2 linked regions of the Drosophila melanogaster genome follow. The protein of the gene in region 1 interacts with the protein of each later gene in a pairwise test. Each region holds a gene or a part of one and is shown on either strand. Other genes may lie near its edges. The genes, in order: Nup58 and CG10809.

Evidence for each region.
Region 2: the proteins of Nup58 (region 1) and CG10809 interact in a two-hybrid assay, tested with the Drosophila melanogaster proteins (one large-scale study listed by BioGRID).

Annotation. Positions count from the first base shown.
Region 1 is NT_033777.3:19,643,225-19,647,598, forward strand, and holds Nup58 (nucleoporin 58kD), read left to right. Parts: upstream 1-1,801; 5' UTR 1,802-1,940; coding exon 1,941-2,864; intron 2,865-2,925; coding exon 2,926-3,642; 3' UTR 3,643-3,682; downstream 3,683-4,374. Other genes in the region: Vha13 (vacuolar H[+] ATPase 13kD subunit), read right to left, coding at 284-454, 514-614, 982-1,063; CG6195 (uncharacterized protein), read right to left, coding at 3,746-3,907, 3,989-4,374. UniProt on the Drosophila melanogaster protein: Component of the nuclear pore complex, a complex required for the trafficking across the nuclear membrane. Together with Nup54, required for transposable element silencing regulation in ovarian follicle cells.
Region 2 is NT_037436.4:9,856,568-9,861,734, reverse strand, and holds CG10809 (uncharacterized protein), read left to right. Parts: upstream 1-1,845; 5' UTR 1,846-2,245; coding exon 2,246-3,322; 3' UTR 3,323-3,397; intron 3,398-3,671; 3' UTR 3,672-4,352; downstream 4,353-5,167. Other genes in the region: iPLA2-VIA (calcium-independent phospholipase A2 VIA), read left to right, coding at 1-340, 400-735, 798-1,030.

The sequences.
Region 1 (4,374 bases):
AAGTGAGGAAAACAATTGAAACACATGACTTTTCGGATAAAACAACAACGTGTATTGGGCAGAACACAAAACAATGATAATACAATCCCGCGCGAGTGGGAGGCAAACTAATATGCTCGCTTTTTTCTACATGGAACAACAACGAATTTTCACTTTAATGTATGGAATAATAATACAGCAGTGTTTCCAGTTAGATTAACCACTATTATTACGGGTCTAAATTATGGATTAGAGTTGAACGTGGACATTGAATTTACAGCGCACAGTTTGGGGGGCCACCTCTTTACTTGTGGTTGTAGTTTTTGTGCACCTCGGGCGAGATGTTGTACACGTACTGCAGGATCTCCAGGATGAACGGGTCCTTGCGGGTCTGGATGGCCCGGTCCATGTCGGCCAGCTTAACGCGGATATCCGCATCGATCTTGGCCGCCACGCCCTCGCGACTGCCCATGTGCTGTAATCGGGGTTCACACGGTATTACATGTACATAAGTTTCCCTATGTGGCGTCTTACCTTGGCCTCGAACTCCTTGAAGGCGCGCTCGCGCTCCTGGCGGAACTTCTCGATCTCCTCGGTAGCCTCGTCCTTGGCTTGCTTCAACCTCCTTGCCTTGCCTGCGGGATTACCCAGAAATCCAGATGATCATATCAGTTCAACTTGGCAAATCAGCCCTCCGCAAGATGACCTTCCATAACTTAAAGTGCCAACTCGCACAAAAACTATTTACTGCACTTAAGTTGCAGTCTTAGTGGCCACAAACAATTTTAATTTAATTTAATTTAATTTAATTTAGTTTAATTTGATTTATATCTCGAGTTATGGAGGATTGACTTGTATTTACTTTTTTCCACCACATCATGTGACCCACACACAACGGTGATGGTGGTTATGGTAGCACGGGGGCGGGGTGGTGAAAAAATCGCAGTTACTTGTCGCCCTGCCATTTCCAATTGGATTTTTGTTTCTGAAAATGAAACTTACGTTTACGAGCCTCGGCGACCTTCTCGGCTGCCTTTTTCTCGGCAGCGAGCAACTGCTGGATTCCCTGCGTCTGGCTGGCCATAATTTCCAAACTTCTCTAATTCCTCGCCGTGGTGTATACTGTGCAAGTCGAAAAAAGCAAGTGCGACAGAATCACAATCGACGACGAACTGTGAAAAATGTCATATGACGAAGTCACACACACGCAAACTCACCACGGTGGCTAGTTGGTGTGGGTAAGCAGTGTGCCGGAAAGCTGGGTGCTGCGAAACTCTTGGAGATGGCTCGGTCGATTGCATATCGATTAGCTTAGTTGTATATTATTGTTTGGTATTGTATTGGCCAGAAGTATTAAATAATTTGACGTTTTTGTAAGCATTAACTTTCTCATTTATTCCCATCATGAATATTTTTCTTTTATAATTTTGTAAACTTTAATTCATTTTAATTTAAATGCAGCGTTTAATCTGCTTCGCACTGTAATAGTTCCGGCTGTATTTAAAGCTATTGTAAGAAATTAGTTCGTAAAAAATTCTTTATATTATTTTAAAATTGAAATACATAAAGATTAAATTTTGAAATAATTTATTCATATTAATATCTGAAGGCTATCGTTTGATATTAAATAACAACCATGTTGTAGTGGACCGAACTCACCACACCTCAGACCAAAATTAAATATTTGAAAATCACAAATCGTAACTATATGAAGCTGCAAATACTTTATATATCTTTAGCCATAGTGTATTTATTTCAATCAATTTGAATACTTTGTTGATATTTTTCCGAATAAATCTCTGCTGACTAGCTATCGATATCACCGATAGTGTCATCTCTGTCCTAGAAGTTAAACCACAGATGCTCAGGCATTAAACAAAATTAATTTCGAAATTTGTTGCAGTAAATATAGTTTAATTGTTTAAAATTCCTGTATAAATCCTTAAGAGGGGTGCCTAAAGATGTTTACGCCCACCACGAACAACGCCATTGGAGGCGCCACTGCTGCTACCGGCGCTTTTGCTTTTGGCGCGCGACCGGCGACGACGACTGCTCCGCCTCCATCCTTTGGAGCAGCCACCTCTACGCCAACCTTCGGTGCTGCTCCGGCCACCACCTCCTTGTTTGCAGCTCCCGCGGCCACACCGGCCTTTGGGGCACCAGCTGCTACGCCGGCTTTTGGAGCACCTGCGTCCACGCCTGGTTTTGGCGCCACTTCCACTGCGGCGCCGGCTTTTGGAACGGCTGCTGCCACGCCCGCTTTTGGCATACCAGCAGCAACGTCGGCTTTTGGAGCTCCAGCTGCTACGCCCGCTTTTGGAGCTGCAGCTGCCACTCCCGCTTTCGGAGCACCCGCCGCCACGCCCGCTTTTGGAGCACCCGCCGCTACATCCGCCTTTGGAGCACCAGCAGCCACAACGGCGTTTGGAGCGCCAGCTTCCACGCAAGCATCGGCCTTCGGAGCACCTGCACCAGCCGTGGGCACTGTGGCTCCCACTTTCTCCTTTGCCACCCCGGCCACAAGTGCGCCGACCACCGCGCCGCCGGCCTTTGGATTCGGCACCACCGCCACAACGGCGGCAGCTGCGATGCCAGCATCCCTCAGCTCCGGAATTGGATCGTTTTCCTTCCCCAAGCCACAGGCCACCACGGCGGCCAGCTTGAACTTTAACACAACCACGACGACGGCGACGGCACAACCCTTCAACACGGGTCTGAAACTGGGAACCACCAATGCGACGACAACCCTAGGAGGAGGAGGAATCTTTAGCAAGCCAGCGGGTCAGGCAGCTGCCCCGGCAGCATCGACTTTCGTGGGTCTGGGGGGGATCGATGTGACCGCCACGCAACCAAAGCTGGGGGACAATAAGCAAGATGGCATCAAGGTGCTGACCATGAGTCTTTCACAGAGAAACAAAATAATCATTTTATTTTCGACCACTCCAGATTAAGGAAACCCAAGTGCCCGACGAGATAATAAAAACGGTGGATGGCCTAAAAGCGTATATCAAACAGCAGAAGACCATCTCCTCTGACATTGGACGGACATCCACCTCCAAATTCACGAATGTCAGCCACGAGATCACGAACTTGAAATGGGCGCTGCAGAATATGGCCACTTTAGTTGAGGGCAGCAATCAGCAGATCCGCCTGATGCGCCAAGAGACCGTCAAGGCGATTCAATCTCTGGAGATGGCCCAACGCACGCAGGACACCCCAGCCGGCCTGCAGTTCGAGAACAATGCTCCGTTCCAGTACTTTCAGTGCCTGGTGGCGAAGTACGAGCAGGATTTGATCGCCTTTCGCCAGCAGATCGCTCTGACCGAGCGCCACATGCACGCGATCTCGAATCCGCAGAGTATTTCGCCGGATGATCTAAAGCGTGGCTTTCGCCAACTTAATGAGAGTTTCATCTCGCTGGCGGGACGCCTCCACGAGGTGCATCAGCGGGTGGAGGAGCACAAGGAGCACTACCTAAACCTCAGACGCTACCGCCTGCGAGACACCACCAACGTTTTCGAGCGGATTGACAATCCTCCGCTGCCGACGGTGGAACCTCAACGGATTAGTAGCGGTCCAACGCCCTTCTCCAACATCTCGGCTCTGATGAACAAGTCCTATGCAGCGGCGGCCAGTTCCGCCAGCAATGCGACAGGCAATTGAGAATGGCACTCTTTACAAGTTTCAATAAATCGTTATGTCGAAAGGGGCCTAGACTTTCACTTTCAGTTATAGCATAGAATATATATTTCACACGCAACAATCTTTATTTCTTCACCACCTGGATGACGTCCTCGTCGGCCATCACATGGGCAATCCCCACGCGCTGCGGCGAGTATTTCGTGGAGGTGCCCCACACCAGGGCATACTTGAACTGCGCCGCCAGCGTGCGATGGATGGCATGGCACACATGCTCCACACTGACGCCCTAAACAAGGAATATATAAGGAATTAGAGTTGCTTTACCAGGCTGAAGAAGGAATTGGATGAATGGAAAACAGTCTCTTGCCTTTCTCAGAATCAATCCATCGTCAAAGTCTGGAGGAGCGCCTGGCTTCTTTGTGTACACTCTGATGAGCTGGAGAGCTTCCCAGAGCGCCTCCATCATGTAGTCCAGATTAAGTTTCATGTTGCAACTAACCACTATCGAGTTTGGCTGGCGCGCCAAGCGGTCCACCTCCTCGATGGAGATCTGATCGATCTTGTTGTAGACATACAGACAGGGCAGATACACACGGTTGGCGGTGACCACGTCGATGAACTCGTCCTCGGTGCAGTCTTCGCGGAAGAGCACCTCGGCGTTGAAGATCTTGAAGGAGTGCAGGATGGTCTGGACCATTTTCTCGTTGCAGCGCGTAAGGGAACAGGTGGCGTTGAAGCTCAGGCCGCCGCCCT
Region 2 (5,167 bases), on another chromosome or scaffold:
CTTTCTCGCACTCCTATTATCCATATGTTCGACTGGATTGCCGGCACCAGTACTGGCGGAATTCTAGCTTTGGCGCTGGGTTGCGGCAAAACGATGCGTCAATGCATGGGCCTCTATTTGCGCATGAAGGAGCAGTGTTTTGTGGGCTCACGGCCCTATAACAGCGAGTTTTTCGAGTCCATTTTGAAGGACAATCTGGGCGAGTTTAACGTGATGACGGATATTAAGCACCCGAAGATCATGGTCACTGGTGTGATGGCGGATCGCAAGCCGGTCGATCTACATCTATTCCGCAACTATACGAGCGCCAGTGACATTTTGGGCATTGTGACTCCAATTAGTAAGTGAGATATCAACCAATTATCGAGATAGCTCTCTAATTTTATTTTAATCTTTTAGACAACCGAAGAATTCCTCCTCCTCAGCCTTCGGAACAATTGGTATGGCGTGCTGCTCGGGCTACTGGAGCTGCGCCCTCATATTTCCGCGCATTTGGTCGCTTTCTGGACGGCGGCTTGATTGCCAACAACCCGACTCTAGACGCCATGACCGAGATTCACGAGTACAATATGGCCTTGCGTAGCGCTGGACGCGAATCAGAGGCCATACCTGTATCCGTGGTGATGTCGCTGGGCACGGGTCATATTCCGGTGACTGAACTTAAGGACATTGATGTCTTCCGGCCGGAGAGCATCTGGGATACGGCCAAACTGGCCTACGGAATCTCTACCATTGGTAAGGCACCTTATCTATAATATACTCGTGTGCTTTCTTAATCAAATGCATATCCTTGCTAGGCAATCTGCTAGTGGACCAGGCCACCTGCTCCGATGGAAGAGTAGTGGACAGAGCTCGCGCCTGGTGCAGCACGATTGGCATACCCTACTTCAGGTTCAATCCTCAGCTGAGCGAGGACATCGCCATGGACGAAAAGGACGACCAAAAACTGATCAATATGCTGTGGCACACTAAGGCGTATATGCACGCCAATCGGAATAAGATAATCGAGATGATCAATTTCCTAAAATAGCATGCAAGACGGATTTAGACCGCATTTGCTGTAGAGATCTCTCATTCGAGGGATCCTTTCGATTCATGTCCGTGTACTTTAGACTCGTTTAACCCTCTTCGTTTTTATTAAGCACCTTTTCTGAGGTCTAAATCAGCTCACTCGCTGGGACTTCCACTCTCAATAGCACCGATATCCTCCCACCACTTGGCTACAAAACAGAATCTGTGTGATTATCCTTAATTTTTCCAATTCCGAGGCTTCATCTCCAGGATTAGCAAACGAAATACGCTTTGTATATTGTGTTATTGGACTTAAGAGGGTACCATATCAGCACATTAATTTCGAAAATCTTTTATTTAATGTATTATAATCGGCCATGTATTTTATTGTACGTAACCCTCCAATTGAGTCGTTTAATTGATAAAAACATTCCGTGCCTCTGTTAGAAAATGAATGTGTATGTAGTATGTCGAGCACGAATTTTGAATAAAACTTTTTAAGTGTTTAAACCTGTTTTTAATGAATTCCCATTAAAATAGTTGTAGTACTGGTCCAGAAGCTAACATACATTAAATTATAGATCTTGAGATTGCAGGTTATAAGATTAATTGGTTTAATTACTTAATGGGTTTAGTTGTTGAATACTAAATTTAACTTCATGGCAGAGAAATGAAAAGCTGAAAACATTAAAATATTTTTTTAAGACTACAATACTGGATGTTAAAAAATGTTATAATTGTTTTTTAAAATATTTTTATGTTTAAATATTTAGCCTACCAGGGCTGGCTAATCGCGATAGTGTCCTCGCCAGAAGTTCCATTCTTCCAATCGATAGCTAGCACACTAGACATATGTATGTATCGATAGGCCAAAACAAATACAAACAATACAGACGAGCCAAGAATTTTTGCTCTGCGTCCCAACACATAAAAATCCATAACAAAGTGAGTCAAAGTGTTTTAAAACGAGGACTACGAACGCAATAGATGAAGATAAACCATTGCAGATCAAGATTAATACGCTCAGGGACGGCAGGGTCACACCAATAACGGGTGGTCAGAGTGACCAAAGTGGGCAGGAAAAGAAGCAAAAATAAACAAACAATACAGACAGGAAAATAAGCAGCGCGTGCATGGGAAGAGTTTTTTCGCCTTAGGCCCAAACACTGAAACCAGGAACACAGACGCACTGCATCACTGGCAACGGGGCACACAATCCGATTGCGACCAAGCTATGGCTGCGGCCACCAACAACGATTCCTCCGGCGTGGAGTCGGCCAAGGAGGAGGTGGAGATGTCGATGCCGCCATCGCCCATGTCGATGGCCATGGTACTGGCCAAATCGACACCGATGCCCATGCCCACCAGCGCCTCCAAGGGGATCATGATAACGCCGCCGCCACCGGCAATGCCGCCCACGCCCACATCGTCGCCCAACACGCACGGCGAGTGGCCCCACATGAACATCAACCTCAACCTGAACATGAGTTCAAACCCCAGCACGAATGCATCATTCCAGCTGAGCAGAGATCGGGGCGAGCACTTTGCCCTGCCGCATCTGCCGCCCCTGCCGCTGAATCCAAATGCCTCCAATGCCGAGTATCTGCCCAGCCTGATTCATCCAAGCACCCTGCCCTCGGGTAGCAAAAGCTTCAAGATGCGGCCGCGAATGCAGCGTCTAAAGCACTCCTACAGCTACAGCAACATAATCGTCCAGTCAAATGGCCGCAAACTGCGCACCGCCGCCTCCACCTGCAACATCGAGCTGCTCAACCGCATCCTTGAGGGTGGGGCCAATCCAAATGCCGCCGACGAGTACAATCGTAGTCCCCTGCATCTGGCCGCCTGTCGTGGCTACATACCCATTGTCCAGCAGCTACTAAAGTACGGAGCGAACCCAAATGTAGTCGACTCGCTGGGGAATACCCCACTCCATCTGGCTGTGATTTCGGCCAGCTCCAATAACTTCAACGTTGTGGTGGGTGTGCTGCTCCAGGGCGGCGCCAGTGTCCACATGTACGATCGCAGCAACAAGTCACCGCTGGAGCTCGCCGAGGCCAAGCTAAGATTGCTGCGCAATCGTTACGATCACCCTACGCCGGAGACGGCCAAAATCCTCGAGGACATGTGCATGCTGACCACGCTCATCTTACGCTACATGGTAAAGCAGCAGCGCGAGCTGGAGGATCTCTCCGCGCTGGAGAAGCGACTGCAGAACCTGAGCACCAGCGATGACCAAGAGCAGGTCGTATCCCAGACCGCCGATGAGCTGCTCGCCAGTGTCGAGCGGCTATCAATCAACAACAAGTAGACGGGACGTAAACTGGACGCCAGGGTAACCCGACCGCAGGCTGGCCCAAATTGCGTTCGATGAGTTGAGAAAAAAGTGAGTATGAAAACAAATAGTCTACAGATATATACAAATATACATATATGCAATACAAATAATGAAACCCCAAGTTGTGTTTTTAAAAACGTTATCTATAAAGCATGTGACGTCGCATTTGCCATTCCGCAAAGCATTTGTGATCTTAGTCACTCACAAGATTAGAAGCAATAATGTTTACAATACCTTAATTATATGTCAAATGGTTCGGAATATTGGTTTTAATATTTTTTCAGACTAGTGATACTAATCAACTGCTTTCTTTTCGTTGCAGTTTGTTTATCGTTTCCTAATTTGGCTGCCGTTGAGCTGGAGTTGGCATTGTGACAAGCAGCTGGAGGAGATTGAGATCCTGCGCCCGATCCTAAACCCACAAAGCTGCCAAATGCGACCAACGCTCTCAAACACACAAGCACACACATACACACCCACACACAAAAGAAAACACACATTGTTTTATGCGATCTTTTTATTAAGTATTTCATTTAAGGCTTATTGTTTATGCAAACAATCAACAAACATGATTACATTTTAAGCTTTACGTTTAGCGCGCCAAAAACAAAAAGAAATCAAGTTATGTAATAATGATGCAATCGCAACTCAAGAGGACACCTAACAATTTGCTACATTACATTTAACTAAATGACTACATTACTTGGAAATCGTTAAGTGTCTATTGTATACTATAACAAAAAAAAAAACCATATGCGTGTAAACACTCTCTGAACAATAAACGAAAAACCAAACGGCCATTTGACTTAATCCGCAGATCAAGCCGAAATCTGTAACTAAATAACTGAGAGGACTTCTGAGTGAATCTGGTTTGTGGTGAGGATCTGACAATCAAATAATCTAGAAAATCCTTTTCAGAAAATCAAACTGAAAACGTTTCTACTTAGATACAACTTGAAACTTCATTTTAACATAAGTTTGGTGTTGCCAAGTCTATTAATGCATTATGACAAACGGTTTTGATATACTAATTGCCCTTGATTGGTATATATTTTAAAATCCATAAATTCAACAAAAAAAATCGAAGCTTGAAAATCATCTATAAATCTATTTAACAGCCTTTTCCTCTTGCCGTTTAAATGTATTCAAAGTGCGATTAGGAAAACCCACATTGGGGTCTTTTATGAGTATTTATGTGTAAACTTCACATTAACATGAGGTGGATAAGAAAAACTAAACGTTTTAAGAAACTTGTTCACGACGCAAATAGTAAACGAAGTTTACGAACCCATATTGACGTCAAGATCGAGTTAATACTAAATAAATGTTGTAAATTAGGGAGATCAAAAAACCCGGTCCAAATGGGTTTTTCATTCATAACGAAATAATAACGGAAGCTAGACAAATGACCAAAACACTTTTCCGGACATAAATATGAGAAAATATGGGAGGAGTGGGTTTATAAACAGGCCCAAAAACCTGAAACCGAAACTCGTAGACCCATTCATACGAATGGAAATGCCACAAAATACTATATTTATAACATCTGCGCCTAGCTTCGAATTTTGTGGGCGGGGCAAATGGAGGAGGAGGAGGAATCGAGTGGACAGCTGGAAACGGAAAAAAAGAAGAAAAGCCCTGTCTCCTCTTCTTCCCACGTCGGTTACGTTTCGTTGAGCGAAATGATCAACATATTCAAATGGTCGTTACGCACGCTACACAGAAAATAGCATTGTGAACGTTCTTAACAAATATTATGATACACTTTAAAAGCATATACTAAAGGGAAATGTTAATTTTCGATAAGTCTCTTTAAAT